Linked DNA regions of Oryctolagus cuniculus. The protein of the gene in region 1 interacts with the protein of each later gene in a pairwise test. Links are inferred from orthologs where the notes say so. Each region holds a gene or a part of one and is shown on either strand. Other genes may lie near its edges.

Region 1 (4,143 bases):
TCCCTTGTCTAGCCTCCCTAACCAGTAGCCATTTTGGTTTCCATCAGAATGCCTCTAAAGACCAGGTGTTAAGATCACAGGTGCCAGAGCATTTTTAACAATTTCATTCACTGAAAAATTTCTTACCCTGAATTAACATCTGCCTCCATGTAATTTCTATCCATTGAACTTATCTCTGGGGTCGTGTAGAACAAAATTCTACATAGCTGTTTTAAGGCTGTTGGCATTTCCTCAGAGTTTAAAAAAACACACACACAAAAAAACCCTGGACAGACTTCTTAACCCAACATTTCACCATCACTGCATCCTCTTGGTATCTGTCAAAGATACAGGCCCAAAACTGGGCACTTAAAATGCACTGTGATTTGTACAAAAGACAGCAAGACAGTCTTGCCTTTTTAGAGACAATGCATGTATTGACGCTGCTTCCACATCCCACTTGCTTTGCCATATCTCACTGCTGACTCATCTTGTACTTTTAAGAAGTTAAAATTTCTTTAATAAGTACTTATTTTATTACAGGGTCACAATACTGTGCTTGTGAAGTCACCACCCAGTGTTGAAACTTAAAACTTATGCTTCTACATTTGTACTGTTAGAAGGCTTAGTCCAGGCCGGCGCCGTGGCTCACTAGGCTAATCCTCCACCTTGCGGCGCCGGCACGCCGGGTTCTAGTCCCAGTCGGGGCGCCGGATTCTGTCCCGGTTGCCCCTCTTCCAGGCCAGCTCTCTGCTATGGCCTGCAGCTCTCTGCAGTGGAGGCTGGCCCAAGTGCTTGGGCCCTGCACCCCATGGGAGACCAGGAGAAGCACCTGGCTCCTGGCTTCAGATCAGCGCAGTGCACCAGCCCCAGCAGCCATTGGAGGGTGAACCAACAGCAAAAGGAAGACCTTTCTCTCTGTCTCTCTCTTTCACTGTCCATTCTGCCTGTCAAAAAAAAAAAAAAAAAAAAAAAGAAGGCTTAATCCAGCCTCATTGAACTCCCTAAAACAATTCTCCCATTCAGCGCGATGTAGATTACCACCAAGCCGATGAACTCCAAGTGGCAGAGCCCTTCCCTTGCACAGTCCTGCCCAAGGCCCTACGCTAATGTTGCATTGATAATTCTGAAATCTTTTTTCTTAGAACACCAAAATGTGTTAGAAGCCTCACAAAACCAGGATCCACCCTTGCATCTAGCATATTAACCAACAACTCTGCTAAGATGTTCACCTCTTAAGTGTATCTTATTTTTGACACTGATATTACACACATCTATAGGATACAGAGTGACATTTAAGTAATGTATACAATGTAAAAATAAGTAGGGCAGGGTAACTGGCACATGTATCACTGCAGACATTTATCATTTCTTTGAATCAGAAACTGAATATCCTCTCTGCTAGCTATTTTGAAATGCAGCTGCTACCAAGCATAACGTTAGAAGTGACTCCTATCTGACTGCATTCCGGTACAGGTCGACCAGCCTCTCTGCACTCTCCCTCCCCTACACCCTCCAGCCTTTGCCCCACCAATGGGAGCCTTACCTTGGTGAGAGGAAGCGTTCCAGGCAGAGTAAGCCCCTCCTTCTCCAGTAGCCTCTTCTCCTCCTCGGTCAGTACCAGCCTAGCAACCTCCTGAGGTTACGGGGAAGTAGGCAGCAGTTGCATGGGGATGTCCGAAAGAAATGGGAATTCCCGCCCCGCCCCGCCCCGTGCAATGTGGGGATAAGCCTCCTGAAAATCAAGTCAGCTACCTGCTCTGTTGGCTCCTCCACATACAGCGGAGTCATCGGAGCCTCCTCCTTCCCATAGCTCCCACTATCTGCAAAAGGGCAATTGTGACTAGCCGGGCCCACGGACCCTCTCCTCTAGCTCCCAACTTTTCTGATGTCACTCACCTACGTCCACGGAGACATGCTCCTGTGGGAGGGAGTAAGTGTGATCGTGGTGCACAGGCGAGGGCTCGCAGGAGCTGAGGTCGGCCAACGACGCCGGGGGACTCAGCAGGGTGCTCAGCAGATCCTCTGCCTCCCAGTCGCTCAGTACCTGCACCGGGTTCAAATTCCCAGGCCCTGGCCTGTCACTGACACCCGGGTCTCGCGGACGTGCCGCGCCTCCCTGACGCGGAGCCCTACCCACCCACCTCGGAAAGCGGCAGCTCCCAATCCGGGGGCGCCTCCACCGACTCATCGGCTGCCTCCCCCCATGCTCCGCTCTGCTCGAGCAGGAAGCCGAGCAGGTCCTGATCGCCAGGGTCCAACGCCAGCTCCATCTGCGACATCTACGGCAGAAACTCAAGGGTTCACTTCGCAGCCCGGTTCCAATACGCGAGCCCCAGGCACGACCCCCAGCCCAACCGCCGGGTCTCTCCCGCCTACCCACCGCTCCTCTTCGGCTGGCCTTCCCCGCTGCCGGGGCGGCAGTCGCTGTCAAGCCCGACCCACCCACCCGCCGGACTCCGTCGCCCTCGGCCTCCAACACAGCACAAGTGACGCACGCGGCCCCGCGGCCTCTCGGGACTTGTAGTTCCCTCCGAGCCGGAAGTGGCTCGGGTGCTGCGCCACGTCCCGGGGGCGATGCAAATGAGGGGGACGTCCCCGCCCCGGGGGCGGGGACACCGGCGACTCGCCTCCGCCTTCGCCCCGAGCTAGAAAAAAGGAAGAGTCCGAGTGTAACAGGGAACTCGGGCGCCGCTGGGGTGTTTTCTCCGGATTGCGCCGCGCCCTGGCTTCCTGCCGGGGAGGGGCTGCCAGTCTTCGGCGGGCTCGCGAGCATCGAGAGCTGGGGCCAGAGCAGCTTCCTGCAGGTCCCCAAAACCATAGAGCGCGGGCCCAGGGCGCCGCCCGGGGGTGGGGGACGCGCCGGGGACGGAAGTGGCCGAGTGTGGCGAAGGGAGGGCGAGGCCGGAGCCGGAGAGCGGGCCCGGAGGACGAGCAGGGCCGGCGGGCGGGGCGCAGAGCCGGGCAGCGCAGGTAGGCCGCGGCGGGCCGGGCCGGAACCTCGGGGTGGGGCCGCGAGGTCTGGCCCGGGAGGCGGGCGGGCGCGGCCCCTGACTGCGGCGCGTCTATGGCGGGTTCTGGGGGAGACGTCAGCTTCCAGGGTGTCTCGGCAGGCCGATCTGCGGGAGGTGGCTCCTCTGCGGGAGCAGTCCTTGGCCTGGAATAGGTTTTGGGGAAGGGTGAGGAGTGTGGCGGCCGCGGGGCGCAGGGCGGGGATGGGCTTTGGTGTTTGCTGATAGCGGGGATGTTGGGCTGGAGAGCTGTGGATGAGTCTGGGTTTAGGTGGGGTTGGGTTTGGGAATCAAGGGTCTCTTTAGGAGGTGTAAGGCCGGGGTTAACGCTTGAGTTATTGGCGTGATTTAGATCCGTTTTATAAATAAGTGAGGTTGAGGTTGAGGTCGTTATTTTGTTTCCTGGGATGACCAGAGGTAAGTCAGAGTTAAAAGAGTTCAGGGTCAGGTTAATGGTCAACAACAGGAATTAGGTTAGAAGTCCATTTTAAGGATCATAGGATATTGTCGTGGTCAGTTTTAAGGATAAACAGTGAAAAGGTGAGTTAGGAATCAAGTTACAGGTGAGCTAATTTAGACTTAGGGGTCAACATTTTGGGTTAAAGTCAGCAGATTTGGTGCTAACGGTAAAAATTAGTTGAGCCTTAGGGATCAAGGATTGGATGCTTGCTGGTCTCTGCTAGGAGGGGGATTCTATGAGAATGAGGAAACAAATTAGGGCACTAAGGGCAGACCCAGGCCAGGAATATTGACCTTGGGCAGATAACATTTAAGAGGTCGGCAATAGATCGATGCCTTTGGTGTGTGTGTGTGTGTGTGTGTGTGAGAGAAAGAGAGAGTGGGGGGGAGGGAAGTCCCCTCATTTTTATTTAGTCACAGGAGCTTCTTTCAGCCAGAGAGATGACACATTTTGGGTTGGGGTTCTGGACTTCAGGTAGAATTTCCTCGATTCCTCTCTAAGCTCAATGCTGTTGCTGTGGCCACCACAGTTACGGGGCAGGGATTGCTGGACTGTGTTCTGTATGAGATGGGAGGTGGGCAATGGCCAGGGACCCAGGCAGTGGGGACCACCCAGGGAGGAGGAGAGCAGTGGCTAAGGGGGAAGCCGACCAGGGGCCACCGTTGTGTGAGAGAAGGGGATGAATGAATCCCT
Region 2 (4,124 bases), on another chromosome or scaffold:
CTCATTCTGGCTCTGCCTTTCCTGAGCCAGTCACTTCTGTTGCTCCGGAGCCTTCCGGGGCTGAGGGGCGAAGGCCACAGTTGGATGAAGGGCACCAGTGGGATGCTGGTCCTTTCGCCCTACTTGAACTTAGCCTGGATTTGTCGAGTACCAGGGAAGAGGCGGCAGCAGAGGGGTCTAGGGTGTCTCTGAGCCTCCAGCCACAAACCCTCCCCTGGCCCATCCAATGGCCAGGTGGTAGCCACAGAAACCACTTTGTACCACAGGAGAGCACGGGGCCTGCATTTGCCTCTCCGGCCCCCTGCGTTCTGATGACGCCTCCTGGTGAGGGTGGTGCCTTCTTCCACAGGACGGGAGCCGCAGCAGCTGCATGGCAGCAGATGCCCAGCCGGGAAGGTACGGCCTCGCCCTGAGGACCAGAGACCGGGGTGGGGGCCCCACGCTGTTCCCTGTGACTCCCCAGCTCCTGCTGCAGAGCCAGGGCACCTGCTGAGGACACCTTCACACTCACACACTCCACAGTCCCAGCTGGCCCCTGCAGCCACACGGAGCCCAGTGAGGACAGGACGCTGGTCTGTCTGGGCGTTTGCTGTCCCCAGCACCCAGGACAGGGTTTGGCATCTGCCAGGGGGCTAAGCCAGCCCTTGGTGGGTAAATTCGTAGGTCCAAGTGGCTGTCACCATCATGCGTGTCATGCAGCCTCTGGCCTGGCCTGCAGTCATGGTTCCACCAAGCTTGTGGCCCTGATTCTGCCAAGGGGCATTCAGTAGTAGCTCCATGGGGCCCGGGGCCAGTCCTGCCCCAACCCTGAGCTCCCTCACTGCCTCTTGGCTGGATCCTGGCACTGAGCAGTGACAAAGCTCAGCCCTGCATGAATAGGGGGAGGGTGGGGACAGGCGACGATGGTGTGGGGGTCCCGCAGTGGATGTGGCCCAGGGGAGACACGCCAGGAGCCTGGGGCCTGAGAGATAGGAGCCGTGTGAGGAACCCCAGCCCTGTGAGCAGACCTCTGGCTGGAGGACCCTGGAACTGACCACAGAACTCCCCGCGGGGGCCGAGGCTGTGCCGAGTGGAGGATGTGCAGTTGGCTCCCTCTCTGGGCTGGTTAAAAGGCACCAATTACCTCAGTTCACCCAGGCTCCTGAACAGACAGGGCCGCTGGCCACCAGGGTGACAAGCTGCCCCCGGGCTACTCTGTGCTTACAGGCAGTGGGGTGCACGTGGCTGGTGCAGCTCCTGACCCCACCCCAGCTGGCCGCCTGCCCCCAGCACACGCAGATTTCAGAGGCGTCCCTCCCCTCCCTGGCTGGGGAGGAGTCAGCACTGCTGGGGCAGAAGGGCAGCGGGGAGGGCAGGTGGAAGCCGAGCTGCCCGGAGCATCCCAGGCCCTTGCTGAGCGCCCAGCTGGGGCCCTGCCCGGATCGCCTTCCTGCACCGGCACAGGCAAGGGGGCTGCACCAGGGGCTTCCTGCCTGCTCTCGGCTGAGTCCTGATTCCTGCTCTGCTGGCTGCCCCTGGGCCGTGGGTCTTCTCTCCCCGGCAGCTGTCGGCTCCCTGGCTCCCGGCTCCTCTGTAACTCCCACCTTTCTGCTTTGTGGCTGCAGAGCCAGCTGGCGCCCACCTTGGCGGTGTGTTTCCTGCCAGCCTATCTCCCCGTCTCGGGCTGGGGCGCTCTCTCTTCCTCTGCCCTGCGCCTGCAGCCCTGCTTCTCCCCTGCCTCTCTGCCCTCGCGGTCTGCCTGCCCCCCCCCCCCCCGTCCGCCCTTTTCTCTCCTCTCAGGGACCTTGGGCTCTGGGTTGAGCTTCTGCTCCTTCTGTCTCTCCACTAACATGTGGCCATGTCTCAAACTGGCCCCGACAGCCCCACTGCCCCCACAGCATCAATACACATTGCTCCCCGGGACTTGGAGGGGCCCTGGGGTGGGGCTTCCTGCCATCTCGTGCCTGCCCTTGACCCGGCACGGAGGGCGGCACCCAGACAAGCTCCCTCTCTGTCCACGGAGGCCTGGCGGCTCTGGGGCATCCCTGAAGTGACGCGCAGTGCTGGGGCCCCGGAGCTGCCGGCTCCAGACCTGACACGGCTCTTGGGTGGGATTGGGGATGCCAGGCAAAGCCAGGTCATGGTGCCGTCTCCAGGGAGGACTGTGCCACCTGGCTCTCTCCAGCCCCCTGAGTGGGGCCAGCTTGGAGGAATTTCCCAAAGCCTATTAGAGCAGCGGCTGCCTCCTGCCTGCCTCCTCGGACTGGGCAGGGAGGAGGGTGGAGGGAGCCAGGGAGGGAGGGAGGGAGGGAGGGAGGGGGAGAGGAGGAAGGAAAAAAGTTGGCAGGCGGACAGCAGAGCCGTGGCGGCATCTCGCCCCAGAGGAGGCCTGTGCGGTGCGGGGCGGGCCAGCGGCAAGGAGAGGCCTTTCCTCCCTTTGTGCTCCCCGCCCCCCGTCCACACCCCCACACCCCCCCCCGCCCTATAAATAGGCCCCGGCCAGGCTGTGGCTGAGCTTGCAGGCAGTGGAGCCCCAGGCAGCGAGCCGCCTCCTGTCGAGCCCCCAGCCAGCATGGCCAGCGAGTTCAAGAAGAAGATCTTCTGGAGGGCGGTGGTGGCCGAGTTCCTGGCCATGACCCTCTTCGTCTTCATCAGCATCGGTTCTGCCCTGGGCTTCCAGTACCCGGTGGGCAGCAACCAGACGGCCGTGCAGGACAACGTGAAGGTGTCGCTGGCCTTCGGCCTGAGCATTGCCACGCTGGCCCAGAGCGTGGGCCACATCAGCGGCGCCCACCTCAACCCGGCCGTCACGCTGGGCCTGCTGCTCAGCTGCCAGATCAGCATCCTGCGAGCCGTCCTGTACATCATCGCCCAGTGCGTGGGGGCCATCGTCGCCACCGCCATCCTCTCGGGCGTCACCTCGTCCCTGCCCATGAACTCGCTCGGCCGCAACGACGTGAGTCGCGGGGACCCAGGCGTGTGGGGAGTCCAGCAGAGAGGAACTCAGCCCCATCCTCTGCCCATTGTGCAGATGGAGACGCTGAGGATCCGAGAGGACCAGAGGTTGCTGAAGGTCATGGAGAGAGCTGGGGCTGGAGCTCAGCTGTGCCCGCTTGCTGCCAGGCGCTGTGGGAAGCTGAGCTCCAGAGACTGGTGGCTGTGCCAATGTCCCCTGCAGGGCATCTGCTGCGGGCATAAGCTCTGGGAGCCGCTGGCTGTTTGGGCCAGCAGTTGTACCCCCGGGGCTGTAGCTTCCTGGCCCTCGTTTGCCCTGCCTGTGCAACCGGCTCCATTCTCTGGAGCCCTGCCCCTGGGCAAGCTCTGCCCGCTGCCCTCAGCCACGCTGAGCCAGAGGGTGGCGTATCTGTGACCAGTCCTGCGAGTGGGGGAGCAGGAATCCCCAGGGGAGCCTCCAGGTGGCCCCCTGTGTTCACACAGGTCCCCAGATCAACTGCCCCCTGTCCTGGGAGGCAGGCCCCTCTGCAGCTCTGCTCAGGGACCTGGACAAAGATAAGGGAATGGAAACGCTGTCCCGGGCTGCTGGAAGGCGGCTGCCCCAGACGGCAGCATGGGGTGGGGGCAGGGGCAGGGGCTGGCGCCACCATCCGGGGCGTGTTTATGTGTGTGTGACCATGTGTGTGTGCACCTGCTGGCCGGTGCGGTCTCTGAGCCTGTGGAAGCGCTGTGCCCACCTGTGCCCAGAGCTCCTGGGCCAGGGTGGGTAATGGCAGCCACATGTTGGCAGCTGAGTGGAAGCTGCCCAAAGGATTGCTCCCTGATGGCTTACTAAGCATGTCTGAGTGGCTGTTGGTGGCAGCTGCCTGTGGTCATAGACCTAGGCTTTTGCAGTTCCTCGGCCAAGTGCCCGGGCCACGGCAGGGGGCCATTTGGCCCCAGTGGCTGCGTAGGGGCTGGAGGGTGTCTCAGAGGGCTGGAGGGACAGGCAGGCAGGTTTGGGGTGCAGAGAGGAGGCACAGGATCCAGAGAAACCAGGCTGGCAGGACAGGCAGCTCGGGACAGAAAGGTGGCTGGCAGAGGCTCCTCAGGGGTGGCGGGGGTGGGGTGGGGGGTGGATTGGGATTAGAGTCTGCACACTCTGCAGCTCAAGTTCAAGTCCTGGGAAGGGGCTGGTGCTGAAGGCAGCT
Region 3 (4,285 bases), on another chromosome or scaffold:
CTCTTGTATTTCTGAACCAGCTTCCTGCTAACGCACTCTGGGAGGAAGCAGGTGATGGCTCAAGTACTTGGGTATCTGCCAACCACGTGGGAAAATCAGGATTGAGTTCTGTGCTCTTGAGTATGGCCTGGCCCAGCTCTAGTTGTTGTAGTTATTTGGTGAGTCAACCAGTAGACAGAAGCTATCTCTTTCTCTCTAATAAGTGACAATAAAAATTTTAAAATAATAATCTTTAAATAAATTATAGAGAAGGCAATTCTTCGCTGAGACAAACTATAGAGTTTTAAAGATGGCTTCCAGCTGGTTGTCTGCGACTTCAATCTGCAGAACCCTGAGGATACAAACGTACACCTCTCCCCTTTGCTAGGAGGGTTTCGGTGGGTAAGCCGGAACGCTTAGGGCAGGGTTGCAATTCGACCAGGTGCAGCTATACAACAAGCGCTCTGAATCTCCACACTCCGCAACCCAAGGCCGGCCCCCGGGGGTCCCCGCCCCACTCGTGGGGGAGGGGGCGGCGCGAGGGCAGCTGTCGTCAGCCCGGGCCGCACACCAGGGGCAGATTCGCAGGAGCGGCAGCAGTGGAACTGCTTATTCGGCCACCACCGCGTTCAACGCTGTCTGCCATGGCTGGGGAGTCTCCCAACGGCATCTTCATTTTCTCAGGCCCGCCTTTCCCGGGCTGGTTCGCCTTCCTGCGCTCCGCGGGGCGGCCGCGGCTCTTCACAGACACCCTGCAAAAGGGGGTCTGTCCGCGACAGCCTGCGCCCCCCCAACGCCCACCCCGGCCCCTTCCCCGAGAACGGCCTCGTGGACGAGCAGCGCGAGGGTCTGGCGTTGGTTGTTACCGCAGGATTCCCGCACCGGGCCCGCCCGTCACAGGGCTTCACACCACAGCTGCAGAGGCTCGCGCCGTTTTTAATGAAATTCCTGACATCTCGGAATTCATGCAGCTTCCCTTCAGCCCACAGTCTCTAAGCCTCGGGCGACGCTTAGTCACCACCTACATCCTCAAACCTAGACCTGGGAACGCCAAAGCGGTGAGAGACTGTACCAAAAAAAAAAAAAAAAAAAAAAAAAAGAGGGGGGAGCCGGTCAACCCACAGCCAGCCCGCCATGGCCACGCGCCTCGAACCTTTTAAGGGCTCCGCGAGAGCCAGTCAGCCAACTGCTCGACGTTCCTCCAATCCCCGCGCCTCCCGCCGCTAGCCCCGCCCCGCGCTCCTCTCGGGCCAATAGCTGCGGAGCATCTTCGCTCGCTCGCGCGCTCTCTCTCCGCCTCTCCCGCCCACTTCCCACCCGTTGCAAGTTCGAAGCCTTCAAACCCCGCCGGCGCCCAGGCGCTGCGGAGGAGCCGGGTGTATTTTTAGCCTCCCGGCGAGTAGCCCCGCCTCTGGCCCCGCCTCCTCGTCGTCCCCAATGGGAGACGGAGTTTCCGTCGCGTCATCGCGCGGGCGGGCAGGAACTGTCCAATCAGCGTCCGGAGAGAATTGGCGTAATTAAAAAGCGGCGGAAGGAGGTGGGAGGGTCATGACGCAGCGAGTTTCAGTCTTGACTTTTCCGGGAGCATTTCGGCGTCCCCGTTTTTTCCCTTTAAAGTAGAACGTTGCCCCGACGCATCCTCCGCGCCTTTACAGGGGGCGGAGGCGGCGAGCCGCGGCGGCGGCGGGAGGAGCGGCGCTGACGCGGGCCCTGGCGGAGGGGGCGGCCGCGGCGGGGCGGTCACGTGGCCGTGTTGTGGGGGGAGGGGCGCCGTCGCGCGGTCGGTTCCGGGCGGTTGGAGCGCGCGAGCGAGCGAGCGAGCGAGCGAGAGAGAGCAGCCGCGCCCGCCGCCGCCCCTGCCCTGTATGCCGCTGTCCCCCGGCGCGGCCGCCGCCGATCGCAGCAGCAGCAGCAGCAGCCGTCGCCGCCGCGGTTGATGTGGTTGGGCCGGGGCTGAGGAGGCCGCCAAGATGCCGCAGTCCAAGTCCCGGAAGATCGCGATCCTGGGCTACCGGTCTGTGGGTGAGTGGCCGGCGCCGCGCGGCCTCCTCGCGCCGCCGGGGCCTCTACCTCGGCTGGGTTGCGGGGATGCGGCCGCGCCGACGAAGTTTGTGGAGCCGGCGCGGCCGTGGGCCGGGCGGGAGGGGGGCCGCGTTTCGTAACCACCATTTTGAGCAGAGGTGGCGGCGGTCGGGGCGGCGGCGACCGCGCCGGACCGGGCGATGCGGGAACCCGCGCCCTGCGGGGCCGGGGCGGGCAGGTGGCGGCGGGGCACGTGGGGCCACCGGGCGCGGAGGAGCCCTAGGTTTGCCGAGGGCGCGTTTGGCGGCGGTGGGAGTCGCTTGCCGCCCTGCCGGGCGCTCCCAGCAGGTGGGACTCGCACCTGCCTCCCTCTACCTTCGGCCGCCGGCGCTCGTGATCCCGGCTGCCGCCTTCCGCCACCCCGGCCTCCAGTGAAGTCCGTGGGATTTTGACAAAGAAAACGGCACCTTGGGTCCTTTAAATCTGTGAAGTTCAGCCTGAAACACACACATACACACCACACACACCTCCCCCCCCCCCCAGGTTAGAGTTTGGTTACTGAGGGCAAGTTCCCTACCAAAGAAACCTAGAAAAGCCCCCAAAGAGACCAAAAGTGCTCCAGATACTCTTGGCGGCCAAAATAGGAAAGGAGAGAAAATTTTCTCGTCTCTCGGTGCCCTATTTTTCTTAGGGGAAAAAAAAAAATAATAAGGTCAGGTGCCTGTATTCAGGCTGTTGGAGTGATTCGGAAGTCTTCTCTTTTTTTTTTTTTTTTCTTAGGAGGTCGGCATACATTTGAAACTGTTTCTGGCAGTCGCTGCTTTGCTGGGTAGAGGGAGTCGGGGGTTGGTGCCCTGAGTGTCATACTGGGAAAAAAACAGAGCCGTTGAACTTGGGGGCGGCTTTGTTGTCTCAGACAAGCCGATACCTGGAGAAAATACGTTTATGTTGTCCTGCTGGTTTTTTTTAAAAAGTAACTGTCGAAAGACAGTGTGCACCTGAGCACGCTGCGGGGCGGAGGGGAAAGCCAGCGTTTGGCGGCTCTGGTGGTGGCCGCTGGAGGGAACCGTGGCTGCCGGCGCTCGGCAGAGGAACTCCCCGGCTGTGCGTCTCTCTCGCTGCCTCACCCCCACTTTCCACCGCCCGTGCCAGGGTCTGTTCGCTTTGACCCAGATCGGCTACAGCATGCTTACTCATCCCTTTACCGTCTCTCCGGGGGGAGTCCGGAGATTCGGCGGTGGGCGGGAATCAGAGGTGGATGAGCTGTGTGGATATGCCTAGCCCGCAGTCCCACATCAGAGGTCTGGACGCACAGATGGAAATAGCAGGTGACAGCCCTAACAGCTGCAGCCGGAAAGGCGCTCCGCAGTCCGCTTTCCAAATGCCAGTATGGTCCTGTGATCTAAACTTTATCAGCAGCCTGAGGCATCTTCTTGCTTTTCTGTGTTCTCCGTGTTTCCTTGTGTGCGTTTGGAAGAGAGGGTCTGTGGCAGGTGTTGGCTCTTGAGTGCTGTCTGATCAGATACATAGTGCTGACCAAAGATAGGAGTCTCGGAAGAACGAGCTTACAGTGATGAGCACTTAGTCTACCTGGTTTCTTTCTTTTCTTTTTTTGAGCTTATTTGAGAAGCAGAATTACAGAGAGACAGAGGGAGAAGTCTTTATTCTGCTGGTCCAATCCCCAAATGGCCATAATGGCCAGAGCTGGGCCGATCAGAAGCCAGGAGCTTCTTCCAGGTCTCCCACTTGGGTGCAGGGGCCCAAGGACTTGGGCCATCTTCTACTGCTTTCCCAGGCCATAGCAGAGAGCTGGATCAGAAGTGGAGCAGCCAGGATCGAACCTGCGCCCATATGGGATGCCAGCGCTGCAGGCAGTGTGGCTTTACCCCCTATGCCACAGAGCCAAGCCAGCTACCTGGTTTCAACCCAAGCAAATGGCCTGAAGGTTATGACTTAATTTACCCTTTGACGATTTTGAAATGGCGACCCTAGTCTCCAGTGAGCAAGTCCAGTGTTTTATCACTGTTAAACTATTTAAGCACTGTGCTGCTAACTTAGCCTCCAGTGGGATGCATAGTAACTCCTAGTATGTTGTATTTCTACAGTATGTCATATTTCTACAGCCTACTCCATTTTCTCCATATTTATTTTCAAGCATAGTGAGATGAAAGTACATGAGAAATTAGCTCCAGTGTTGTGTTTGCTTTTGACGTTATTTGCGTCTATTATGATCCCCGATGCTTGGTAGTTTGTGGGGTTTTTGGGGGGAGGGAGATTGGCCTTC
Region 4 (4,246 bases), on another chromosome or scaffold:
GAGCCCCCACTACTGCCCCTTCCATGGCTCCTGTTCTCAATCAGCCTCCAGTCCCTTTTTAGGCCTGGAGTTTTCAGCAGCTTCTCACTCTTGCTGGGGGCCAGCACCTCGGCATTCCTCCTTGATTCCCTTAACCCTTGTGCCTTTGTTTAAAAGCCTCTTCAAAACCCCAGCTGCCAATGGAGCCTGATTCCTACAGGATCTGCTTGTTAGACGAGAGGGCAGAAGTTGGTGCTGGCCAGCAGCCCAGTCACTGCAGTTAGCAGACCCTATTCAGTAGCAGGTGGAGTCCAAAGTACAGATGATCTGCTAACGGACAGAGCACCTGCGCAGGGGGCAGTGAGGTCCCAGCTTTTTAACACAAGTCCATGTCTTCAGGATGGAGCTTATTTCTATGTCTCTTGACTCTTCTGACTGGTGTGTGTGTGTTTGTGTGTGTGTGTGAGAGAGAGAGAGAGAGAGGGAGAGAGAGAGGGAGAGAGGGAGGGAGAAAGGGAGGGAGAGAGAGAGAGGGGGGCAAGGCTGCTCTGAACAGAAGCTTCAGAGCTGAGATTTTGGACCAACACAATTCTATGCTCACTAAACCAGAAGTTCAGATCTATGGAGAGACTCTGTGTGTGTGTGTGTGTGTGTGTGTGTATACTTTCCTTAGGAGAGGGAGTGTCTCTGATCCTTCCCCTCAAAGGTAAATAATAGGAGCCAAAGCTTACCGGTGCTGGCTCTGTGTTAGGTTCTGAGCGCTTTATTTGCCTCAACTCTCAATCCTGGCAAGAACCACATTAAGCGGCATGTAAGCTATGCCAAATTTCCGGATGAGGGCAGTCTGGCACAGAACCCACGGCGCCTGAGGTCTTTTGATTAGGCGCCCTCTGAGTGGGGATGAAGAGTCTGGTTCTGGAGTCTGCTGCTACCCCTCCACTCCCACCCCCTCACCACTCAATACCGTCACCATGTCTGACTCTGGACCTAAGAGAACTGTGTGTGTGTGTCTGTGTGCGCGCGAGATCTGCACGTGCTCAGAACCTAGCGCCATGCCTGGCACGCAGTCGAAGGTGCGGAGTTATTTGTTGACTCAGCGACGAAATTTTACCAGGCAGAGAGGACGGGGGCAAGTCCCAGCAACTGACAGCTCCGGGGGTATCAGACAGACTTTCCTCCGTGGAACTTCCTCTCCACAGCCCGCTCCCCAGCCAGTCTCAAGAGCTGGTTTGCCTCTGCAGGACGGGGAAAGGCATAGCAGGCAGCGCCCTGAACAAACCAGAAAAACTGCCTTGCGTCGCTCGGGAGCACGCGGCAGGGCACGGTCGCAGCCGCGGGAGCCTGCAGGGGCCAGGAGGGCCTCCCTCCCTGGGTGAGCGTTGCCGCTCACCTGCCTCGCCCCTCCCGCGGCCCGAGGTCTGCGGCGCGCCCCGCCCTGTGGGTGGAGTGTGAGCGGGGTGGGGTTGGGGGGGGGGGCAACCTTGGACTTTGCGCCCTCAGGTGTGTAGGCGCTGGCCGCGGGCAGAGCAGCTCAGCCCTCCTCAGCCGGCCCATGGAAGCGGCCGTGTGCCCGTCGGCCCGAGACGAGCTGGAGCTCTCGGTGCTCGGGGGGCAGTCAGACGAGCAGACGCCTCTCAGTGGAGAGGTCACGGTCATCTCGGCATCGGTGGAGGAGGCCTGCCCGCCGCAGGTGAGGTGCCCGCGGCGCGCCGGTGGGACGGGCCCGGCAGCTGGGAGTTTCGGGGTTCCCGAGCGTTCTCCGGGCAGCTTCCGACGCCCGGGGCTCGAGCCCGCCCGCCCGCCCGCACCGGCCCCTGCGCCGCCCGCGACCCCGCCGCGCTCCGGGAACCCCAGTGCGGGGTGTGGCCGCGCCGCTCTGGAGAACCAGACTCCCCCGGGATAGAGCTGGGCTCTTTAATGAAGTTTATTTTCTCTTTCAAGTAGTGAGAACGAGGGTCATAGACGGAGTCAACTCCTTTCCTTAGGATCTCGCCCGCCTCCTTTCAACCCTCCAGACCTCTCCAACTCCGGCCCCCACCCCGCCTTCCGCTCCCTAGCCCCCATCCCCCACCCACCGTCCTCGCTCCTCGCCCCAGACACGAACACTTTCTGTCTTCTCCCGGCCTGGCCTTCGGATTCCGCCGAAAGACGGAGAGGGGAGAAAGCCGCAGGAGCCAGGGGCCTGGAGCTGGCCTGGGAGGGGGTGAGCTCGCTGTGTTCACATCAGAGGAAATATTTGCAAAGTTCTTGTCCCAAGGAACCAAGCCCCCTCTGCTGTCGCCTCCTTTGGATCCCTAAGGAAGTCCCTCGTGATGTTTCGACCGAGCAGTTTTCTGATTCAACTCCAGCGGTGGTGGCAACAGTATAGGCTCCCATCAAATGCTTGTAAAACATCAGAGACTTTGAATTCTGGGCCATCCTTGTGATTAACTCCCACCGCTGGCTTGGGGTTTACTGGGTACAAGGAACTGTATAAAGAGCCTGATGGCACCAGGCCCCACTCCTCCGTCCTGCCCCTTTTGGCCACTCAACTGTTGATTTTGGGGACAAACAGGAAATCCAGAGGTTCAGAATATGGCTCTGTATGCTTTCCTGAAAAGCTTGCTTTTACTGGTATCCTAGAGAGTACTTGGGCACTTTATGTTTGAATGAAATATAAACACCTGGGAAGAGTGAAGAGTGTACACCCATGGTCTGATCGCCAGGCCCAGTGTCTTCAGCCATACAGCATTAGGCAGAGGTTTGGGAATTGGAGATCCCTGTTTCACATTAGAGAGACCCAGGACACCTCAAGTCTCCATGTTTTGAAACTAAGTCCAGTGATGAGAGTTGTGGTGACAGCTTCACCACTGTAAGCTGTGGTCCAGGGCCAAGGCTGTCAAAAGTGGAAAGGGAAGGTGCCCAGCTGGGCATCTGTGAGACCTGGCGGTGCTTGGTGGAAAACAGTTGAATTGTAGAACGTGATACCCATGTAGGTGTCAGTGTTTTCCAATTGGTTAGCACCTGCCCCGTAGCGATTGCTCTTTCATGTTCTAAAGACTTCCTTGTTTGTTAGGTTATACAGGTGTCCTGGATTTCCTTGTGAGGTAGCTTTGTAGGTCTCTCAGTATGAAAGCTCTGGTGAGCAACAGAAGGGAGTGAAGGCCAAGGGCTATGTGAGCACTCGAGGACATTCTAGAAATGCCTGAGCAGGAAAAATCTTTAAAGGTGACAACCCATCACCCAGTGTGGTAATTTTTTTGTTTTGTTTTGTTTTGAAGAGTGAGCTGACATGCATTTAAACTCAGGAAAGTCAATTAGTGTAGGGTCACTAAGCATACTGGCTTGCACAGGACAGAACTCAGACGCTTGAGAGTTTTCTGTTTGGAGCTGCTTAAACTGTGTACTGATTTCCATTTTCAAATGCAGCTTAATTCCCTATATTTCCATTGTGCACCTGTTGCGTACCTACATATGCCAAACACCTGTGATACATAAGTGCATTTATGAATGTTGTCAGTGTTGTGATTTGACAGGCGAGGAAACTGAAAATTGAGCCTCTCAATGCCCAAATATTCTCAGTGCTGCCTCTGAGGTTTGAACTCAGACATTCTGTCACCTACGCTGTTTCTGTTGGTTTAGTCTCGATCATTTAAATATATAATGTGACTTATAATTTGTACTCACTTATTGTAGTTGCCTAGATTAGATATTGCTAATTTCTTTAAGTTAGGTAATTTATAATTGTAATTTAAGTGAAATAGGAGTATGGAAAGAGTTGGTGCTGGATGAGTGGATGGGTGGATGTTGAGGGGTAGGGAACGGTTCTGGGGTCACAGGAAATAGACATCCCACCCTGTGATGTCCTCCTGGTTGGCACAGCTGAGCTGCAAGAGTATGCAAAGACAGTGGAAAGAACTTCTTTTCCTCTCTTGATCTAGGTTTGAGGACTGGGGGAAAGGGATACAAGCCATAGAACTCTGCCTGCTGCCACTCTGAACACAAGGTCAAAAGTGGAAAAGAAATTATGGTAATGAGGTGGGACTAGTTTCCTTCTATGGCTCATACGTGGGCTCTGACTCAGGTTTCAAATAGAAATCTCAGAGACATTTTAAGCGATGACAGCATCATTAGAATAATATTAAACCAGTAAATTGGTGCTTTTGAGGTAGGCAAGGCTTATGGGAATGGGCTACCTAAAAATTAGCTCCATTGCTACATATTGTTCGGTTCAGGATAAAAATCAACTGGCTCTTTTGTGCTTGGATCAAACAGCAAGTGCATTAAA
Region 5 (3,500 bases), about 180 Mb from region 1:
TGGCTGACTCAGAGGAGACCCGCTCCGACCACCTCCCCTAACCGTTCCAGCTCAGGCCAAGCCCCCTGCGGTTGTCTCCAGCGTAACCCACCCTCAGATCTTCATGGCCCTTAACCCGGCCAGAAAATCCAAACAAGGGATGGGCTCTGGGCGCCGTGGGAAAGACCCCGCTGGAGACCCGTGCATGCCACGTCAGAAGCCTGTATGCTAGTGCAGGCTCCACTCACAATGCCAGCTTCCTGTGCACGCGCCCCCTGGGAGGCAGCACGTGATGGCTCAAGAGTGTGGGTCCCCGCCCCCCACTCAGGAGACTCGTATTGAGTTCTGGGCTCCTGCCTTCAGCCTGACCCAGCCCTGTCTGTTGCTGGCATTTGGGGAGTGAACCAGAGGACGGAAGCTCTCTCTGATGCATTCTCTCTGTTTCTCTTTCCGTCTCTCTCTCCCTCTCGTATAAGCAATCAGTCAATGCACTCTGGATGAGCATACTTCCAAACATTTGTTGGAAATTCACATTATAAAAAGAACTGCATGGGTTAAAAAAAAAAAAACTACTACCAAAATAAGCTTATCCTTGATGTCCCATTTCCATGAACTTTCTAAAGTGCCTTGGGTTCTTCCCTTGTTGTCCCCACGTCTCTCCCCCACCCCCCGCCAGATGTCAGGGCTTGTCTGCCTGCCTTCTGCTGCCCCAGGCGTGAGCACAGCGCCCAGTTAGGGCTTTGCTGCCCGGATGCATGAACAAGGCTCGCCCCTGTATCCGTGCATGTGCCCATGTAGCAGTGCCAAGTGCAGGGCCCTGGAGTCTGCTTATTTCTAAACCCCAGCTGCAGCCTTGGCCCTGGTAACCCCGCCCTTGAAATGGCCATGGCTCGCGCCACTTGGAGACGGGGTGGGTCAGGCCCCCAAGGCCCGGAGAGTGGGCAGGAAGTGATGATGTTTACTGTGATCTGGACAAGAAGGAAAGTGATCCGGCACTAGGCGGGAGTGGTCCTGTTGGGGGCCCTAGCAGGGGCTGCCGGCCAGCCGGTGGTTGGTTGAATTAAAAGTACTTGCAGCATTCACTGGGCTTTTGCACTGTTTGGCCAGCAGGGGGCTCAGCAGGACCCAACTGCAGCCCCTGTCTCACTCTGCAAGTGCTAAGGAGATGAGGTCGAGCCTGGGCGTGCGCTCAGCGTATGTCAAGGCTGGGGACGCATCCACAGCGGGCGGGTAGCTTGCAAGGGGCCGAGGGAGCCGGTTCCCGGTCGGGTGGCAGGAGGCTGGTAGGGGCAATCATGGTGGACCCCAGCACCTTGAAGCCGAGGAGGGAGAGGGAGGAGCACACCCGGAGCCTTGGGCCGGGTCTTTGTGCACCTGCTGGGCCTGCAGGCTCTGTCCTAACCGGTTCTGGGCTTACTAACGAGCGGCCGTGCTTCTGCTTCCTTAGAGACGTCCTCCAGCTCGCTCAAGATGGGAGCCTACATCTTCATCGGCGTGGGGGCGGTCACCATGTTCATGGGCTTCCTGGGCTGCCTTGGCGCCATCAACGAGGTCCGCTGCCTGCTGGGGCTGGTGAGTGCCCGCCCCTGCGCAGCCGCTGCCCGCCCGCCCGCCCGCCCACCTCCCCCGTCCAGCCGAGGTCTGGCTGGGGCATTTCTCCCCCGGTCTCACGCCAGGCCTGCTCTGTGTCCCTAGTACTTCGCCTTCCTCCTCCTGATCCTCATCGCCCAGGTGACTGCGGGGGTCCTCTTCTACTTCAACGTGGGCAAGGTAAGCCCCCCGTCTCCCCCAGCACTGCCCCAGACCAGCACGCACACGTAAGGGATTGGCCCTGGGTGTCGGGGTGATCGGGCGGGCATGGCGGAGGTTGTGGGATTGGATTGGAGGGGGCGCATCCTCAGGAGGCAGCTCCCGGAGGCAGGGTCACTGCTGGGCTGAGCCGTGCCCACCGTACTGGGCCACTTGCTCACTGTGTGGCCTCGGCCAAGCTGCCTGCCCTCTCTGTGCCTGCATCGCTGTCGGTACAAGGGAGACGGCGTTGTCCTATGCACTTGGGGAGACCATCTCCGTGAGACACTTAGCACAGGCGCGCGTGGCATGGTAACGGTTCAGGAAATGTTCTTCCATCTTGCTGTTGCTAAGGGACCTTGGGAAGCGTCACATCCAGGGGACCCATGCGTCACTGGGGCCCAGGGAGGAGCCTGTTGTTAAATCGTGAGTCCTGTGTCGGAGGGGAGCTGTCCAGCTTGCGAGAGTAGAAACCCAACAGCCCTTGCTCTGGCTTCCCAGGACGGGGTTTCCAGGGGCGGCTGAGGAAGTGACTATTTGACTGTGAAGACAGAGCACAGGAGGGAAAGGGCCCCGGGGAAGACCGCTGGGTGGGCCACACTCAGCTGCAACTGTCCCCATGATCCTGTCCGGAGCGGCTGTGCGTGCCATAGAATCTTCTAGAAGCTCTAGAGACACTGTCTCATCCACACGACCGCTCTGCTGGTGAAGTTCTGCCTTGGCAGGTGGAGAAGCAGCTGCTCCGGGAGATGAGTGACAGGCGCGTCGATAGTGGTAACCGGAGCCTGTACCCTCCGGGCAGCTGGCCCCGCGCAGCCATCAGCTGCCAGGGACAGGGTGGGTCACTCTCTCAGCTTCGTCCTCCCGCTGGCCCTGCCCAGGTTACCGCCAGGCCGTGGGAGAAGCTCCATCCCACAGATGGCTCCAAGGCCGGAGCCCACCCTTGCCTGCACTCCACTGCACTGCTGTCCGTGGCCCAGCTAAGCCTTGGGGGTCCTGCCTCCCTCCAGGGCCGGCTGCCAGCACCGGCTACCAGTGCCTGCCCACCCAAGGGGCTAGCAGAGCACAGCGGGTGGCCAGACGGGCTCCTGCCTTTGGTCTCAGATCCTGCTTGGAAGGGAGCCGAGCAAACACAGTATCAACAGCGACCCCTAATGGTCGTTGCAAGACAAGGCAGGCCTGGTGCTAACAGCACTCAGCACACAATGCATGTGGTTATTCGTCCGCCAATGCTGTGCGACTCCGGGTACTCATATACCCATTTTCAGATGTGGAAGCTGAGGCCCAGAGAGGCGAAGGAGCCTGCCCCAGTTCTCACAGCTGGTCAGCGGCAGGGCCAGGAAACAAGCATTGTGCTAGCACCTGTCTGAAGCTGCTTTGCTTATGTATCGTCTACACCCAAGATACGCATGGCCCTGCAGGGTTTAAATTGAGCCCTGAGCTTCCTGGCAGGCAAGGCAAAGGGGGAAGTAGAGGACTTGGTAGATGAAGACGCTCATCTGGCTATTGGACAGGAAGCCAGCGGTTAGGGAAGGGAAACTTGTTTCCAGCAAGAGGGTTGCGGGGTCCACTCTTCATGGCTGCCTGCGGCTTCTCGGGCACCCCGTCAGCTGCGAGGGGAGGGGCCTGGCCCTGGGAGCTGAGCCCCCATGACTCAGAAGCTGCTGGCCTCGGTAGGGACCTCTGGCCGCCCACCCCGTCCCCTGTGTGACTCACTGTCCCGCAGCCCCAAA
Region 6 (4,028 bases), on another chromosome or scaffold:
GAGGCAGAGAGAGAGAGAGAGAGGGAAAGAGAGAGGTCTTCCACCCACTGGTTCACTCCCCAGATGGCTGAAACTACTGGAGCTGAGTTGATCCGAAGCCAGAAGCCAGAAGCCAGGAGCTTCTTCTGAGTCTCCCACATCGGTGCAGGGGCCCAAGGACTTGGGCCATCTTCACTGCTTTTCCAGGCCATAGTAGAGAGCTGGGTCAGAAGTGGAGCAGCTGGGACTTGAACCTGCGGCCATATGGGATGCTGGCACTGCAGCCTGAGGCTTTACCCGCTACACCACAGCGCTGGCCCCTTTCTCACCGTTTAAATAAGCTTTATCACTTGGTGCAGCCCATCTGTGCCTGCCCTTAGATCGCTTCTCTAGGTAGAAGGCAAGGGCATGGACTAAGAATGTAGACCCCACTCTGCCACATCATGAGGTCCCTGCCCAGGAGCCAGGGCTGCAGGGGGCTGGAGGTCACTCAGGATGGTGAGGGCAGCAGCCTGGACTCCTACTCATGACCTCAACTGAGCCAGTGCGCGGGAAAGGGCAAAGGTCTCTTCAGGGCAGACTCCACCCGCAGCCACCCTGCTGCCCGGAGGTTACTTCATCCCTTCCAGGTCAGCAGAGGGGACTCACTCTGCCAAGGCCTTTCTCCCCCTCTTTCTCTGGAGGAAAGGGTCAAAGCTAGCCCAGGATGCTGCGAGCCTGGGACCTGTGTATGTGGAGCCACTCTTTGGAGCCCCGTGCCTCCCGGCTAGGACCATGGATGGACGGCCACTTTTCCGTCCTGCAGCCCTGCAGGGTCTTAGCAGCCCACTTGCAGCGGGGCCTCAGCGAATCAAGAGGCAGCTAAGAGCCGCTCCCTGTGTTAGCCTCCCAGCAGCGAGGGCAGGGCTGGCCAACCGGGGATGGGATACACAGGCGGGCCCCTGACGCCACCTTACAGCCCGGCGCAGGAACCCCACTGGGAGGGTCTATGCCGTGGCACAGGCGGCGGAGCGGCGGACACCGCCTGCGAGACAGCGCCACCCGCCACCAACAGCCGTCCCTTGCGAGGCTGACGTCCTGCCTCGGCCCCGCGCCGGCGGGCTGGGAGGGGCTCCCTGCCGCGCGCGTCGTTCCGGCCGCCTCCGCGGCTCCGCGGGCCTCTGCTCCAGCTGGCACGCCCCGCGGGCGCCTCGCACCAGCTCCCTCGGCCTCGGACAGCAACGCGGGGGGCGGGGGACACGTGACCCACGCGCTAAATCGGGCGTAGGAGACGCACAGGCCTGAGCCTGGCCACCCGGCCCTGCACAACTCACCAGTGGACAACCCCCCCCGCCACGCCTTTGTGAAATCTGCAAGCTCTTGCGCCCCCAAGACCCAGATGGTTAGGAGGGTGCCCCTTGTCTTGGGCTGCAGGGCCAGTGTTTGGATCCGGAAGGAAAACAGGGGAATTCTTCGTGGGTGGGCGCGGAGGGCCGCGGGTCCCAGGGGAAGGTGGCCCCAGGGCAGAGTCGCCACTCCTCGCCTCGCCTCGCCCCGCCCCGCCTCGGCGGGACCGAGTCCTCCGCACCCCATAGGCAGAGGCGACCCTCCCCGCCTCCCCGCCTGCTCCGCGCTCGCCCCGCCTCGGCTCACTTTAAAAGTTTAGTCCGGCCGGGACGCGGGGCGAAGCAAGTCATGGCTGTCTACGCCGGGATGCTGCGCTTGGGGAGGCTGTACGCCGGGAGTCCGGGGGTCCTGGGGGCCCGCGCGGTCCTCCCTCGGGGTTGGCAGGAAGCGAGGCTGCAGGGTGTCCGCTCGCTCAGGTAGGGGGGCTCCGGGAAGAGAAGAGGAGGCACGGCCCCCGGGAAGGGCTCTTGCGGGGGGGTGGGCCCCGCAGAGCTTGCTCCCCATCCCACTCGAGCGTCGCAGCCCACGGGTGGCGCGCCCCGGGGAGTCAGTGCCCCCTTCCCCGCACCCGGGCCCCGGGCAAAGCAGGGTCTGGGGCTGCTGCTGGCAGATTCGGTGAACCATTACCGCCTTTCTGGGTTCTAATCCCCTTCTGGGTGCACGCAGAGGCTCCCGGCATGGGCCTGTAGCAGTCTGCCCTGAGGGGGAGGGGCGAGGGCCACGGCTGCGCCCTGCCCCCACCACACGGCCTCTGCGCCCACCCTCTTAGAGGGTAACTCTGGGGCTCGGCGCCACCCCACCCCCACCCAGGCCACTGCACCCAGCAGTGTCCCCTCTGCCCCTCAACTGCTGAGAAACACTGGTTTCCTTCCTGGCTTCCTACTCCTGGGCCCGTTTGCTTCTGTCCTTGGGTGGGGGCTGGCAGGAAGGCAGAGGATGTGCTGGGCCCGGGAGCTTTGCTGGGTCGGCAGCAGTACAATAAGTAAGCCTGCCTTCCCGGGGTCGCCGGTTGTTGCAGGATCCCACGAGATTGCAAATGTGGAAGTCCCGGCCGGGCCAGATGCTGTTAGGGTGGTGTTATCGCCTGCGCCAGCAGGGGGGAGGCCTGCGCTCTTCTGAGCCAGTCCTGCTCCCAGCCCAGCCGGGAACTAATCTGCGGTCAGGACATTTCTGGTGTGGGTCACAGCCGTGGGGCCGGGGCCTGGGCATGGCACCGGGACAAGAGGCCTGAACAGGGCTGTGTCGCAGAGGACTAGATTTGGTATTTAGGGGGAAAAAACGCAGATCCTTTTTTGGCAAGATCACGACATTTTGAACTCGCTCATTCCGGAGAGCTAGAAAGCAGGCTTTGATGTTTCATATCACCGCCTAATTGCTAGAAAACGCTCCGTGGGTGCCTGCTGGCCTGTAGATTCCGATGGAGAGAGCTGGGCCTGCTTCCACTCCTCCCTCACCTTCCAGCCCCACCTTGGGATTCCTGGGTGCCTGGTCTGCCGTGAGGACTGGAAGGAGAGTTATCCCCCAAAGTGAACAGAGTTTATGATGCTAACGCAGGCCGGTTGGGCCACAGAGTGACATTTCTGACTGTTGATTTTGTGGGTGAGTAAGCTAAACCTCTAAGCCTATGACCTGGGGGGGGGGGGCAGACCTTAGTGATAAGAGCTCCTAAGCTCCAGCCTAACTTCCGGTCTGTCCTGACCCCCCCCCCCCCCCCGCCCCCACCACGCTTGCGGCTGACTGCTGGTTTTGCCTGGTTTCCCTCCTTCGGAAGCCTCTGGCTGGCAAACCTTCCACAAACACTGTGTGGAGCACCTAGTGGGCGCGCTGGGTACAGGCGCTGGGCCTCGGTGCTCAGCTTTCCAGGAGTTTGCACACCGGTGGAGGAACCTCCAGGGACCGCTGCTGAGTGCTGCGGGAGGCTCCTGGCTCCTGTCCTCTGCTGTTTCTGATTTGGTCACACATAGCCTGCTCTGCTGCTGCCCAACCCAGGCCCCCCGCCCCCAAAAAGCTGTTCCTTCTCATCTCTGGTTTTTGCTTAGTGAGCAGAGAGCCAGAACACCGAAGCCAGATGGTCTTGAGTGACAGCCCTGGCTCCTCCCCCGACAGTTGCATGATCTTAGGCATTATTGCTGAGCCTGGTTGGTTTGACACTAATACTCCCTACTTGACAGGTCATGGGGCTGATGGACAAAGCTCACTCTTCTACCCAGCCTGTCCTCCGAGGTAGGGCTGCTGCTCCCTGAACCTCCAGGAATGATGCCTGGCTGGGCGTTCCAACCACTTTGAAAGTGACAGAGGCTCCCCTCCTCAGGGGTCTCTTTCTTGGACCTGATTCTTCCTCCTGGCCAGTTGCCAAGATGGTGGCTTCCAACTGGACACGAGTCGAGTCCTCTATCCAAGACAGGGCTGTCCATCCTGCTCCAGAGCTCCCCAACCCCCAACTCCTTCCTCTGTCCACACTCCTCTTTCCCAAGGGAGGTGGGTGGGCTACTCTGGGGTTCCAGGGAGCTGCAAGGGAGGCATCCAAGGGGAAGTCGGGGATGAGCAGCTTCCTCCAGACCTGGCTCAGAGCTGGCCGGGGCAGCCTGTGCACAGCCACATCTAATGCTGGGGAAGCTCCGTGCAGGAGCGGACAGAGAGCACTGGGGTTGAAGCCTCCAGAA
Region 7 (4,148 bases), on another chromosome or scaffold:
CAGCGCCTTCCTCTCAGCTGCTTGAATCCATCCTTACCCCCTCCCTCCGCTCCGCCATTCACCAAGCACTGAATTCTGTCGGTCTTGTTTTCTTAGTGTCTCCCCACTAAGTGTGCGGTGCACACTCTTCAGGGCCTGCTGAGGTTGGTGACAAAACGCCTGTTTCAAGTCCTTGTCATGCCACTCTCTGACCCGGCTTCCTACCACCTTTTTAAACACAGATCTGCCAGATCACTCTTCTACTTAAATGCCTTCATTCGCGAGGCAAAATTCCCCAAACCCCACCTACCTCAGCAACCTTGCTTCTGGGACCTCCCAACTCAATGCCTATACATCCCTGCCCCACCAAATTATCTGCTCTTTTGTTCTCATATCTCTGTGTTTTTTTTTTTTTTTTATACATGCTGTTGGTCTAAATTGCCTTGCCTTCATACCGCCTCTCATATTTTTCCTACTATACACTTCTCCTAGGGAACTTCCCTCCACTGCCACCCCGCCACCCCTGCCAGCTAGATGTGTCCCTCCCCTGGGGCATTCCACCAGCCTGAGCTATGATCTTCTATGACTGGGGGGTGAAATCAATCACTAATTTCCCAAAAAATGGCTCCTACTTTTGTCCTCCAGGGCAGCAGTGACCAAATGGACCTATTCTTCTACATGACGTCCCTTCAAACCCCATGTGTTTGCCCTTGACCTCTCCTTTCCAGGCTAAACATCTGGATTGCTTTCAAATACTCCTCATGACCTGGTATTCATAACCCAAGTTCCCTATCTCTTTTGTGTCCCCCTCCCCCTTTCCCTAGTTCTCCCTCTAGTCTGGTCACACTGTTTGAAGGATTTTTATTCTTTTCTGAAATGCAGAAGCCAGAGCTCCTAACCGTGGGTTTCATGAAATCACATTTAGTCATTGTGGAAAATAATAATTTAGCCTCATCTGACAAGACTGGGCAAAGCAGAAGCTCGCAGGATCAGAGCCTTGGTCTGTGGAAACTTGACCATTCTGGTCCAGAAAGCCTGTTCAATGCTCATACAGAAGCAATTACTTTATGTCAGACCAAAAGCAAACAGAAAAACCTAGACCTACCTCCCTGACTCAAAATAGTACCAGACATAAGATCAAGACACGGAATGTCAATAGACGTTCAGTTCAACTACAGTATCGGAGGGAAGACTTGGCAGATTTCAAAAACTGAATGAAAATTTTTAAAAACTCCCCCAAAGTATGCCAACAGATCAGAATGACATTTCCAGAGCAAGAAACAGCAATGAAAGAAATCAAATAGGGACCCTAAAAGTTTGGGGGCATGAAAATGAAACAACGGTCATCAACACACAAGCCTGGGCAGCGCCGGGGAAGGAGGGAAGTTGCAGCCCTCCAGAACACCATTGGTCTACAGCCCACGCAGGATTAAATCACCACTGTAAAAAGGAGCCTCTCCCAGTAGCTCGCGCAGCAGAGGCACAGGCCTCCCACAGGTTTTGACGGTGACATGCTGGGGACCACAGCACCTGTTCATCCGAGTTGTTCTCAACTCGGCCTCTTCTTCCCTACTACTGTCTGTGCCCTCAGTCTAACCCCCACCACCCCCGCATTCTCACACACTTGACAGGACGTGCGCCGCAAGGCATAGCATGCAAAGGGCCCACCCTTTGCAGCCAGCACACCTGGATTCAAATCCAGCCTTGCTACTTAGCTACCTGTGGCTGCTGGGTAGGTTATGTAGGCTTGATCGCGCTGCAAAACGAGGCTGATACCCTCTTCTACAGATTGCTGTAAAATAAAACGCGGTGCCAGGACACATAGTAAAAAGGCCAGATTATTAGCGGACTTGCACTCCTCTTGCTAAATGGTAGGGAACCCAGGTTCTGCTAGCTCTCATTTATCTGACATGTGACCCTAAAGAGGTGACTCACATCCTAGTTTCCAAATCCTTAAAATTAGGAACTGTGACAAACTCATGAGAGGGGCTTTGTATTCGCCTAAAAAACAAAAACAAAAAAAACATGCAAACAATGACTCCATCTCCATTTCTGTGCCCCGAAACATATACAAGGGAGGGGAAGGGATTTTATCCTTTATTGATAACAACTACTAGAAATTAAGGCACCGCATTAATGTAAAATAAAAATAAAATAAAAGGCAGCCGACCATGGCGGTTAGGAAGTCTGCCTGCTCTCCTTGGCTCCTTGGCAGCGGGCTGCGATTCAACGGTTCATTGAGAAACGCATCCCCCTCCTCCGATAGGGCCTCCCGAGCCGGAAAAGGAGACCGGGCTGACCGGAGGTCGGCGACACGGCGGGCGGAGGCGCCTTGCTCAAAGAGGCGGAGGGTGGAGGCCGGCTCAGGCCGCGCCGCCACAGGCCCCGGCGGAGAGAAGCCGAGAGGGAGGCGGCCGAAGCTAGGCCGCAGCCGGCTCCCCGCACTGCGGCACACGCCCCGCCGCCGCAGCCGCCCACCTGCGGTGGCCCCCGACCCCCAAGCCCCGCGGCTCGGGCCTCCCGGAGCCTCCCCGCCCGCCCCCTGGTTCCTCACCCGCCACCAACACGGACAGGAGCACGACGAGCACAGCCATGGTGCCGCGGCAGCTGCAGCACTGCGGGGCGACACAACGAGCCCGCGGGACACGAGCGACTACCTCTGCGGGAAGGGGGTGACGCGCTCCGGCTCGTTCCGACTCCCAGAGCCAGTCCCTTCGTCGCCCCCGCGGGGCCAGCTGCCTCCTTCTCCACCAATCAGCAGCTACGCCGGAGACAACGGGAAGGACGTAACCTGGGACTCGTCAGCCTGATGGGCGGAGCCTAGAGTGATGGATGGAAGGGTCACCAATGGTAGGCCACGATTGAAAAGCCGAGCAGTCCCGCCCCCAGGCCCGTGATGACGGGTCACGAGATGGAGGTAGGGTGGATGGTCTCTCGGAGAGGGTGTCGGAGCAGGTCTGGAGGATCCCTAGAGCCCACACGGTGGAGCTGCCTCCTGGGTGCGGACCCTTTGGCCAGCCTCGGGTAACAATCCCCAACCAGGGTGTCTGCCGGCTACCAGCGCCAGCTGTGTAAACTGCGGAACTGGTTCGGGTTTCGCTCTAAACCGGTACACAGACGCTGAGCACCTGCAGAGAAAGAGCCGGCTCCTCGGGCAACCCCTGTCCTCCAAGTAGCGGTGGCAGATAAAATTCAGGACGCCCAGTTACATGCTAATTTCAGATAAACAACGAACAATTTTGGTATGTCGCGAATGTTTAATGGTACATCTTTAAAATAAATTGTTGTGTCTGAGCGAGTGCTGACAGAGGACCACCACACACACATTTTAGAGTCCTTTATTGCCGGCGGCTGAGTGGGCTCATGCCCCAAAGAACTCTCGACCTTGAAGCCCAAAGCAACAGGGTTTATAAAGGCAAAAACCACAAAATCGGGAGGGCAATACATGGTTACTGGGGTCAAGCAAACCTAAAACCTATGCGAAACTAGTATCAATTATAATCTTGACAATACCAATTACAATCTTAACAATTTCAATTATAATCTTGACATTAATCCAGATATTGGCTTAAATTGGACATAGACAAATTACAATTTTATCATTAACCCAGGTGCAGCCTATCCACTTCTAAGCTTGAGCGATCATGCTAAAGGGTTTCTATGCTTTGCCAAGTGTGATGTAGTGGCCTGCTATTGTCCGACTATTTTAGATCATCGTTTCAGACCAGAGTCTCACGGTGAGGGGGGGTTGCCTTCCCAGAATGGAGTCTCATCTGCTCCAAAATGGAGTATCTACTGTCCAGGTGTTACTTCAAAGTATTCATTGTTTATCTGAAATTCAGATATTAACTTGGTGTTGTGTATGATTTGCTAAGCCTGGTAACCCTATCTCCAAAAACTTTCAGATCCGCAAAGATCAAATGGGACAGAAGATTAATTACTTTGATCTTGCAGTCACTCCATTTCCAACCTGAGGATAGGTGATGGCTAGACCTACTAATCAGACCCAGATTCTCCCTTCCAGCAGTTTGTAGTCTATTGTCAAGAAGTGACACAGTGTAGCATCTGTGGTCGGAAGATGCTGCCCCAGCTGATAACCTGGAGAGATGGCTCTGGTTTCAATATGCAGAGGGAAATGGGGAGGATTCCAGGTAACAGAGCCCGTGAGA

Evidence for each region.
Region 2: the proteins of CREB3 (region 1) and AQP1 interact in binary tests that used the Homo sapiens proteins (3 or more experiments, as listed by UniProt). The two-hybrid records come from large-scale screens. The link is inferred for Oryctolagus cuniculus from reciprocal best matches to the Homo sapiens genes CREB3 and AQP1.
Region 3: the proteins of CREB3 (region 1) and RHEB interact in a two-hybrid assay, tested with the Homo sapiens proteins (2 studies listed by BioGRID and IntAct). The two-hybrid records come from large-scale screens. The link is inferred for Oryctolagus cuniculus from reciprocal best matches to the Homo sapiens genes CREB3 and RHEB.
Region 4: the proteins of CREB3 (region 1) and C4H3orf52 interact in a two-hybrid assay, tested with the Homo sapiens proteins (2 studies listed by BioGRID and IntAct). The two-hybrid records come from large-scale screens. The link is inferred for Oryctolagus cuniculus from reciprocal best matches to the Homo sapiens genes CREB3 and C3orf52.
Region 5: the proteins of CREB3 (region 1) and CD82 interact in a two-hybrid assay, tested with the Homo sapiens proteins (2 studies listed by BioGRID and IntAct). The two-hybrid records come from large-scale screens. The link is inferred for Oryctolagus cuniculus from reciprocal best matches to the Homo sapiens genes CREB3 and CD82.
Region 6: the proteins of CREB3 (region 1) and ACSF2 interact in a two-hybrid assay, tested with the Homo sapiens proteins (2 studies listed by BioGRID and IntAct). The two-hybrid records come from large-scale screens. The link is inferred for Oryctolagus cuniculus from reciprocal best matches to the Homo sapiens genes CREB3 and ACSF2.
Region 7: the proteins of CREB3 (region 1) and ATP6AP2 interact in a two-hybrid assay, tested with the Homo sapiens proteins (2 studies listed by BioGRID and IntAct). The two-hybrid records come from large-scale screens. The link is inferred for Oryctolagus cuniculus from reciprocal best matches to the Homo sapiens genes CREB3 and ATP6AP2.

Annotation. Positions count from the first base shown.
Region 1 is NC_091432.1:198,639,729-198,643,871, reverse strand, and holds the start of CREB3 (cyclic AMP-responsive element-binding protein 3), read right to left. Parts: upstream 2,801-4,143; coding exon 2,363-2,800; exon of another isoform or gene 2,359-2,362; intron 2,262-2,358; coding exon 2,124-2,261; intron 2,027-2,123; coding exon 1,879-2,026; intron 1,803-1,878; coding exon 1,735-1,802; intron 1,616-1,734; coding exon 1,526-1,615; intron 1-1,525. UniProt on the Homo sapiens protein: Endoplasmic reticulum (ER)-bound sequence-specific transcription factor that directly binds DNA and activates transcription. Plays a role in the unfolded protein response (UPR), promoting cell survival versus ER stress-induced apoptotic cell death.
Region 2 is NC_091447.1:22,123,360-22,127,483, forward strand, and holds the start of AQP1 (aquaporin-1), read left to right. Parts: upstream 1-1,324; 5' UTR 1,325-1,443; intron 1,444-2,471; 5' UTR 2,472-2,551; coding exon 2,552-2,935; intron 2,936-4,124. UniProt on the Homo sapiens protein: Forms a water channel that facilitates the transport of water across cell membranes, playing a crucial role in water homeostasis in various tissues.
Region 3 is NC_091438.1:22,310,807-22,315,091, forward strand, and holds the start of RHEB (GTP-binding protein Rheb), read left to right. Parts: upstream 1-1,485; 5' UTR 1,486-1,949; coding exon 1,950-2,001; intron 2,002-4,285. UniProt on the Homo sapiens protein: Small GTPase that acts as an allosteric activator of the canonical mTORC1 complex, an evolutionarily conserved central nutrient sensor that stimulates anabolic reactions and macromolecule biosynthesis to promote cellular biomass generation and growth.
Region 4 is NC_091435.1:68,130,444-68,134,689, forward strand, and holds the start of C4H3orf52 (TPA-induced transmembrane protein), read left to right. Parts: upstream 1-1,446; 5' UTR 1,447-1,531; coding exon 1,532-1,669; intron 1,670-4,246. UniProt on the Homo sapiens protein: Has a role in LIPH-mediated synthesis of 2-acyl lysophosphatidic acid (LPA). LPA is a bioactive lipid mediator involved in different biological processes, and necessary to promote hair formation and growth.
Region 5 is NC_091432.1:21,096,396-21,099,895, reverse strand, and holds part of CD82 (CD82 antigen), read left to right. Parts: intron 1-1,426; coding exon 1,427-1,551; intron 1,552-1,674; coding exon 1,675-1,749; intron 1,750-3,500. UniProt on the Homo sapiens protein: Structural component of specialized membrane microdomains known as tetraspanin-enriched microdomains (TERMs), which act as platforms for receptor clustering and signaling.
Region 6 is NC_091448.1:26,333,293-26,337,320, forward strand, and holds the start of ACSF2 (medium-chain acyl-CoA ligase ACSF2, mitochondrial), read left to right. Parts: upstream 1-1,228; 5' UTR 1,229-1,653; coding exon 1,654-1,781; intron 1,782-4,028. UniProt on the Homo sapiens protein: Acyl-CoA synthases catalyze the initial reaction in fatty acid metabolism, by forming a thioester with CoA. Has some preference toward medium-chain substrates. Plays a role in adipocyte differentiation.
Region 7 is NC_091453.1:26,459,492-26,463,639, reverse strand, and holds the start of ATP6AP2 (renin receptor), read right to left. Parts: upstream 2,801-4,148; 5' UTR 2,574-2,800; coding exon 2,534-2,573; intron 1-2,533. UniProt on the Homo sapiens protein: Multifunctional protein which functions as a renin, prorenin cellular receptor and is involved in the assembly of the lysosomal proton-transporting V-type ATPase (V-ATPase) and the acidification of the endo-lysosomal system.